Tribolium castaneum: one gene and its partner. The protein of the gene in region 2 interacts with the protein of the main gene of each other region in a pairwise test. Links are inferred from orthologs where the notes say so. Each region holds a gene or a part of one and is shown on either strand. Other genes may lie near its edges.

Evidence for each region. The genes of interacting proteins can lie anywhere in the genome.
Region 1: the proteins of NELF-B (region 2) and Nelf-E interact in binary tests that used the Homo sapiens proteins (3 or more experiments, as listed by UniProt). The link is inferred for Tribolium castaneum from reciprocal best matches to the Homo sapiens genes NELFB and NELFE.

Annotation. Positions count from the first base shown.
Region 1 is NC_087394.1:37,091,894-37,095,461, forward strand, and holds Nelf-E (negative elongation factor E), read right to left. Parts: upstream 2,293-3,568; 5' UTR 2,213-2,292; coding exon 2,132-2,212; intron 2,089-2,131; coding exon 1,598-2,088; intron 1,548-1,597; coding exon 1,493-1,547; intron 842-1,492; coding exon 730-841; intron 678-729; coding exon 604-677; 3' UTR 530-603; downstream 1-529. Other genes in the region: titin, read left to right, coding at 1-483; queuine tRNA-ribosyltransferase accessory subunit 2, read left to right, coding at 2,807-2,923, 2,967-3,568. UniProt on the Homo sapiens protein: Essential component of the NELF complex, a complex that negatively regulates the elongation of transcription by RNA polymerase II.
Region 2 is NC_087394.1:30,669,109-30,673,425, forward strand, and holds the start of NELF-B (negative elongation factor B), read right to left. Parts: upstream 2,822-4,317; 5' UTR 2,652-2,821; coding exon 2,535-2,651; intron 2,479-2,534; coding exon 2,380-2,478; intron 999-2,379; coding exon 207-998; intron 193-206; exon of another isoform or gene 153-192; coding exon 1-152. Other genes in the region: uncharacterized protein dikar, read left to right, coding at 3,317-3,344, 3,415-3,503, 3,562-4,191, 4,239-4,317. UniProt on the Homo sapiens protein: Essential component of the NELF complex, a complex that negatively regulates the elongation of transcription by RNA polymerase II.

The DNA of each region.
Region 1 (3,568 bases), about 6.4 Mb from region 2:
GTGAGAAGCGTCTCGATTGAGGAAACGCCGCCTCCGCGTCCCCCTGACCCCATCTACATGCCCCCTTCTTCACAGCCCCCTGCGAGTTTCTACGCTTTGCGAGCGCAACAATTCGTGGATGAGGACATTCCTATGGCGCCTTATCGAAGGCGGCGTCATCGTAAAACCCCCGTTTCTAGGTCGAGTTCGGAGGAGACGCCGCCCCCGGCACGACGACGTGTGCGCTCGCCTGAGCCCCCTTCCATTCCCCAGCTGACGGGGCAATTGGTGAGGGCGTGCGGAACGGCAGCTAATTGCACGATTAAAAGACTGATTGCGCATATTCGGGATAATTTGATACGGAATGCGGATGGGCAACAGGATTTGCATGTAATGATGGTGATTTTGTTGGTTTTAATTGCGGGATTGATTTTATTAGCGGGTGATGGGAAAACGGTGCATCATCATCACTGGGAGTACTTTAATCCGCCGAGGGACATGTAAGGGATTTTTCAATGGATTTGTTATGTAAATAAATTTTTAGTCAAACTATTATTCAATTTTTTATTGTTAATACTATTATAATTAAGCGGGTTTTTTCTTAATAAATCACCTTACGTAAGTTTAGTCAAACATATCATCATACGACACTAAATTTCTCTTATCCCTGTGATTGCCTTTTTGAGAATGACTTGACGCTATAAAAATGTTGTATCAAGTTTATAGTTTTTATTTTGTTGCTTTTTTTACCTAGAGTGGCCCACGCTGCGCTCGATGATGCGTCATTTATTGGCTCTATTTGGGGCTGTCGTCTCGCTAGAGTGACTTTGAGCTGAATCCCCGAAACCATACTCCCATCCATCTTTTAATTTTTCAGTTAATAAATTTGCAAATAAGAAATAAAATAAAATAACCAATAATACACCAAAAAAATTGAATATTAATGTCACAATCACCTGTTGCTTTCAAATAAACAAGAAAATTAAGACGCAGAATTTTATATTTCTTAATTAATGACCGAGTAAATAATACGTCAAAAAATCGCCGATTTAGTTCGAATATGGTGTTACTTTTATAGTTTTCCGCCAATTAATAAATGTAACAATTTCTAAACCAAAATCACAGTTTTCCTCCCGAAAGTTTGTGAAATTGTGCCGAAAATTCAATCAGTAAAAACACAAAATTTTGTCAAAGTTGCTGTTATTTTTACCGTTTTCAATAATTTAAAGACACTTTTAAAGCAAAAATCTTACAGTTTTTGCGATGATTACATTATTCTTGCCTTTTTTTTCTAAGACTAGCTCGTTTGTTATCCAGAAACACAATTATTTACAAAATGTAAGAAAAACAAGCAAATTAAGCCGAAAATACTGTTCTTCACCTTCTTCACGTCTTTAAGCACATTTTTGAGACAAACACAAAATTCTTTTTTAATTTTTTCGTGTTTTCTCTTTTGTAACTCAATAAAAAACTATTGTAAACAATGACCAAAAAATCACAAATAAAAACCTACCTCAGCTATGGCCCGTTCGGCGGCTTCCACCTTATCAAACGTGACAAACCCGCGACTAAAACCCAAACATGTAAAACCCCACATAAAAATTGTACCCCCTCATACTTTTTCTCAATCTCCATTGAAATATTCACAATATTTCCAATCGTTGAAAAATGCTTCTTCAAAAACTCCTCCGTTATCTTATACCCTGACACATAAATCGTATTCCCTTGCCTGGGTTTATCCGGCTTTTCCCTCTGTTTCTCAGTCAAACCCCTCTCTTCCCTATCACGCGCATTAGCAAAAGTATCATACAAATTCTTAATCCTTGGCGGCTTATTTTCGGGGTTATCAGGCCCATCGTCCATCTGCACAGCCGAAAAAGGCTGATAACCACTCACAATTTTATCCGAAATCAGTTTTCTTTCCAAGCCTCTAGGCCGTTTAAAGCCCTGTTCTGGCTGTTTTTGTTGTTTGGAAATGGCCGGAATGGCACCGGATTTGATAAGTTTTTTCGCAACCTCACGAGCATCTCGAGCCTCCGCTGGCCGTTTAGGCGTAATGGGCTTTTCGGGCTCGGGTTTGGGGGCTTTCAGGGCTTGCAAAGCCTTTTTCTGAGAGGAAGTTAGAAAAGGTTGTTTACACCGTTCCACTTACCTTTTTCTTAAGTTTCTGGTATTTGGCTTGGAGCATGAGCTCCTCTTCAGTGAAATTTGCCGGAAAATGAATGTAAACCATCGTTTAATCAAAAAAAAACTTGTCCAATTTGCAAACTGAATGACAGTTCGATGAATAAACATCAACACTAACAGCGGTTTAATGTGCAAAAGGTCGAAAATCACAGTACTAGTTCATAATTCAATTAATTTTAATTGTTTAATTTAGATAAACTATTCACTTTATAACCAATTCCAGTCAGCTAACTCAATGTCCAAAATTTAATACGCTAGTTATTTTTTTAATTCACGCAATACTGTACTGGGCCACTGTAAATTTCGATATGTCACACGTTGCCACACAAAAAATGCCAAAAAAACTACAAAACAACCACAATTAAATAATGAAAAAACTGGCAAAGTTTTGGTATATTAATGAATGAAATCATGTGAAGTTCGTTTTTAAAACGTAAATGAGTGTGTTTTTGCGCCCTGTCATCTATTTTTTCCCATTTGTGAGGCATGCAAAAGTAAGGTTAGGCCGGCATGTGTCCACTTTTTTCGGATTTTTGAATGTCATGTTTGCTTTATTTGTCAAAACCTAATTCTGGAAGTGATTTTAGTTGTATAGACTGCTTTTTCACACTTTTCCGAGTGCATTTAGTGTAAATTAACGATGAAATTTTACGTGGAATCTGTCTCAAAGTGTGCCCAACGTTTGGGGACTCTTTCAGAGATCGATGCCAAGCCTTCTGTCTCGATCAAGACTCCTGCAGTAATGCTCCACACACAGGTGAGTCCCCTATTTGGTTAACTGTCCTTAAAATTTAATTTAGGGCGGTCAAATCCCTCACATTACACATGAGGTGTTTAAACTGGTCAGTAGGGACCCCCAGATCTTGCAAATCCCTTTAGCTGGGATGCACACGTTTAAAGAGGCGATGCAGTATTACGAAGGGACCATTTCCAATTTCATTGGTAGTAAAGACAGTCTGACTTGTCTCACTCTTCAAGACCCTTGCAATATCACAAAACAGGGGCACAATTCCACGTTAAAAGTGCCCATTTGGACGAAAAACGGCAAGGTTTATTACGACGCTAAAAGCTACATGGACGTGGTGGAGTCTTTCAAGCCTGACATTTATTTCTTGCTCTCTGATGGAGACACCAATATCAGCAGTTCGGAAAAACGCATTTCAAAATCACTCAGTAACACAGTCAGTTTCTACAAGGAGTGTTTGGAGAGACACCGAAAATCGCAAACTTTAGCCAATTCGTTTGTGATTGCTCCTGTAGTGGGGGGTTATAAACAATTAGCTCGGGAAAAGTTTCTCAAATCGATTCTAGCAGATGTCAAAGATGTAGGTGGGTTTTTAATAGATGGACTTCATAATAATGGTCCCGAGACCGAGTTTTTGGAATTTGCTGAAATTGAGCC
Region 2 (4,317 bases):
TCGTCGACCATGAGCGACATTAGGGCCGGCAAAAATTTCGTAACGACCTGACTGTCCAGTTTGGGCTCTTTGAAGTCTTGGGAGTCGATCATGACCCAGGCACTTAGACCCAAAGCCAACATTCGCAAGAGCAAAATTAAAATCGTATTGTCCTAAAATATTCGTATAAAAATTATAATTTTGTTTCGAAAATTCTCATTATTTACCCTCGGCATCCCTTCTACGTATATGAGATGATGCAGGATTTTTATGGCCGACGTGGCCAAAAAATTAATGGCGTAGGGGTCGCATAAAGTCATTGATAAATCGCCCAGCACCTGCTCTTGGCCCCTCTTAACGTTATCCAAAAACCCTTGCAACTCCCTTGAGCGTTTAATGTCGACATTTTTTTCCCTAATGCAGGCATCAAGGCACCACGTAAATTTATGGCATGGATCTATCGAAATTATATCCTGAACTTCCAAATCGTGTAAGGCCATTAATAATTCGGCCCTCAAAGTGCAGTAATGCACGTTTCGGGTCCGCAAAAACAAAGTGCGAAGAAACTGGAGCACCATATCGTACAATTTAACACTGTTTCCAATCATGTGTGCCAACTTCTGGACGACTTCCCCTTGGCGCCGCACCTTGGGGGAAGGCCCGAAGAACTGGGTGCTGATGTTGGTGTGATCGAACAGCACGTTCTCTTTTTCGCTGATGTACTGACTCAAGAGAGGCGAGACCTCATCTCCGAAGAGCGACTGGTTGTCCTTCCAGATCTGCCGTTTGACTTCTGTGTCAGTGTCGTTGTACAGTTCCCGATCTCTAACTAATATTTTCAAATAGTTGTCGTCAATCTGTGGTGTGTTTTTCAAAATCGCCATCACTATCGGCCTTAAAGCCTTCACTTTGACCACAGGGAAACTCTTTACGAGTAAATCTTTCAGCTTCCTGTCCCTTTCGCGTCCTTCTTGCTTGCCGATTTCATTGATGTGTGCGATTAGTTTCTCTCGGAGTTCCTGAACCAACATCGTAATTTTTTCATTAAAGGGAAATAAATACAGCGAGTTGGGAACTTTATTCGGGAATTTTTTACTAATGGAATTTATGTCTACATGAATGGCAAACTTATCTCGCTGGACCTGAATGAGGGCACATAAAACACTTTATGTTTTGACGTTTTACTACCAAAGTTGGTTTTGTGAGATTACACGTTTATTTATGTATCTAATAGAATGTAAACCAACATTGCGTTTTATTACAAAACTTTTGTTCGTAACAATGCGGTTTAAAGCCAAAAACAATAAAATGTTTTTAAAAAAAGTACAATTACTGCAATCAGAAAAAAATCACAACAATTGAATAAGGAAATACGGTGTTAATACATTTTAATTGAAAATCAATAAATCCAGTTGTAAATTATGGAGTAATGAACGAAACAAGACACCAACCAAAAATGAGTCACATTATCGACCAACTCCTGAGCGCATTTTCATACAGTTTGCACCATAAAAGCAATTATAAACAGTTTTATAATTCTTATTAAGTAAAACCATGATACATTAAATACCATCTGATTTTCGGGATGTACTCGAGTAATAATCACATTCAAAACAACATTTAATTTAAATTTCATAATTATTATTATGAAAACATTAAAAACAACGTTGAATTTGACTTTTACCCTTTTTTCTAACTCAGATTTTCCTGAAACATCAATTTTTAGGAAAATGAGACGATTATTTTCAGGTTTTAGTCGTTGAAATTTGTTGAGTTTGAAAATCAACCCATTGAGGTCGTTTTAACACAAAAATGGAAAAATAACTTGTTTTTAAGCCCACTTTAGCTATTAAAACGTCGATTTTTTATGAAAAATACCCTATTTTTTATGTCCTTTTTAAAATGTGAGCCAGATTTTAATGCTAAAAATAAGGAAAACTAGGAAAGAGTGGGGTATAATGATCCCTCGAAAAATCCCTGTTTTGTAAAGATTTCTTAAAAAATATGAGCCAGGCGTAACAACTGAATCTGTGGTTTTTATTAAAAAAATAAATACATAGACAATAGAAAAATGACTAAGAAAAATCGGATAGTTTATAAACTATCTAGCTATTTTAGTTGAAACTGGGTTTTCTATTAGTTTGCAAACTAACCAGCTAGTGTACAAATTAGCCAAGTTTACACATTGACCGTAACATAGTTTAGTTTTAATTTTCTTTATTTGTTATTTTTGGGTAGGTATACGCCTTCCCCTTCACTGACGAAACTTATTGAACATTATTACTGTGTATGGTTTGTTTAAAATCAAATATATTGATGCCAGTTCTAGTGAACTTTAAAGTCCAACCCATCAGACATTGCCACTAATGAGGGGATTAATATTTAATGAGAATACTTTACCTCTACAACTGACATGTGAAAATCCAGTCTTCTCACCCCGTGTAGATCAAGTAATGGAAGCATTGGGCGTAATGAGGGTAAAAGTATCCCGTTTGTAACCTATAAGAAAGCGAATTTATTTACAAATCTATGGATAAAATCATGACAAAAAGTACCTGAAACTCTTCAATGGCTTTGAGCGGATCAGTGCAACTAGTTAAGGCATGTTTGAGGAAGGTGGGCCCGTGTATATTGAGGGCTTCCAAAGGGAAATCGTTTCTGGATGAAGACATTTTGCAGTACGAATCCTTACACTAGTAAAACATCAAATCGACGCAGTTTATCACTTAAATTCGGTGTTAGTATCACAGAGATTACAATTACACATCTCAATAAATATAAACACACAGCTTTCATAACCCATTATGAAAATATATTGTCAAAAAACACACCATTTGCTGTCAAAAGCGTCAAACAAAACAAAGGTCTTTCACCTATTTAAAATGCTGCGCTGTGATTGGTCGACGTCAAATACAATAAGAAGCGGTAAAAGCAGCACTATTCTAATAACTTCCGGTTTTTCAAAAGGCGAATTTTCAAAGTGACTCTGACAGTTGTCAGGAATTTTCGGCGATGCGTTAGGAGCATGTTTACATTGTGTAATATCGGGCAATTGGCGGAATTACGGTGATTTTGCGGTAAATTACGCCGAGTGTGACGACGTTAAGTGACGTAGAAATAGACGCTAGGTTGCACTAGTACGCAGATTTGGGGGAAGCCTATCAAAGCTTGTTGAAGAAATGGCATTCTTTTTGACACCCAAAGGCCTATAGTGCGCTAAATGTGGCTGGTTATCCGCCGTTCGAGTCGTAAATTCGTTAATTCATGGCTTTTTGGGGAGTTTCGTCGAGATTAATGTGAATTAACAACGTTACATGTATTGATCACCGTATAGGTTATGTTTCCAACTTTCATTAGCATCCTAGGTGTGTTTACGGAAATTCGCCGATTTGGCTTCTCAAGTGCTGTTTTCCCTAATTCTGGCCGTTGTTTCAGATATTCAATCATGGTGGGAGGTTCCAAGCATTGCACATTTTTGTTCATTGTTTCGAACAGCATTTAACCTTTTGGATTTTGATATCGAGGTAAAACCACGCAAACAATTCCTGCGTTCGGGTTTTGATTCGTTTTGCTTTGATCTAGGATTTGGAGGAGGCTCTCTTGACTGATGGGACGGAGGAAACCTCTTGGCTTCAAGAACTGATCGTGAGGCTTCTCAGTGGGTGCTTGCCGAACAATGAAATCTCAACGTTCAATTATCAGATGTTCCTGAGACGTCTCTTTCGCCAGAAATGTCAGGAACATGATCAATACAACCCATTTAACACAGACGTTGATTTCCAATTGTTACCTTTGAGAACAAAAGTGGACATTTTACATGCACTCTGTGATTTTCGTTTAGATGCTGATGATGTGCTTGACCAGCTGAAAAATTTAGAAGCAGACAGCTTGAGGGTTGAGCCCCTGGGTTATGACAGTAACGAATCTGCTTACTGGTATTTTTACGGTACTAGACTGTACAGAGAGGACTTTAAAACCAAGAATAATAAGAAGAAATCCGTGTGGCAGGTTATTTGTTTCACTGAAGACGATTGGTTTCAACTTAACAAGAAATTTAAAAAATCGACTGCTAAGTGTGAAAGAGAGTTACATCGTACTTTAAGTGAGAACTTCTTGCCTGAATTGCCCAGATTGTTCCGGGAAAAGGAAAGACTGGCCAGGAAGCGTCTGCTGGAAAATCAACCGAGACGCACTTCTCGACGTTTGAGAAAAGTAGTAAGAAGTTAATTATTTAATTTTTTTACAAGAGATTATTACAGGAAAATACAACTGAAAAAGAAGAAGTAACGTGTGAATCGCCGAAAACCAATCCTCTTGAAGAGGAAGAAAGACAAAGAA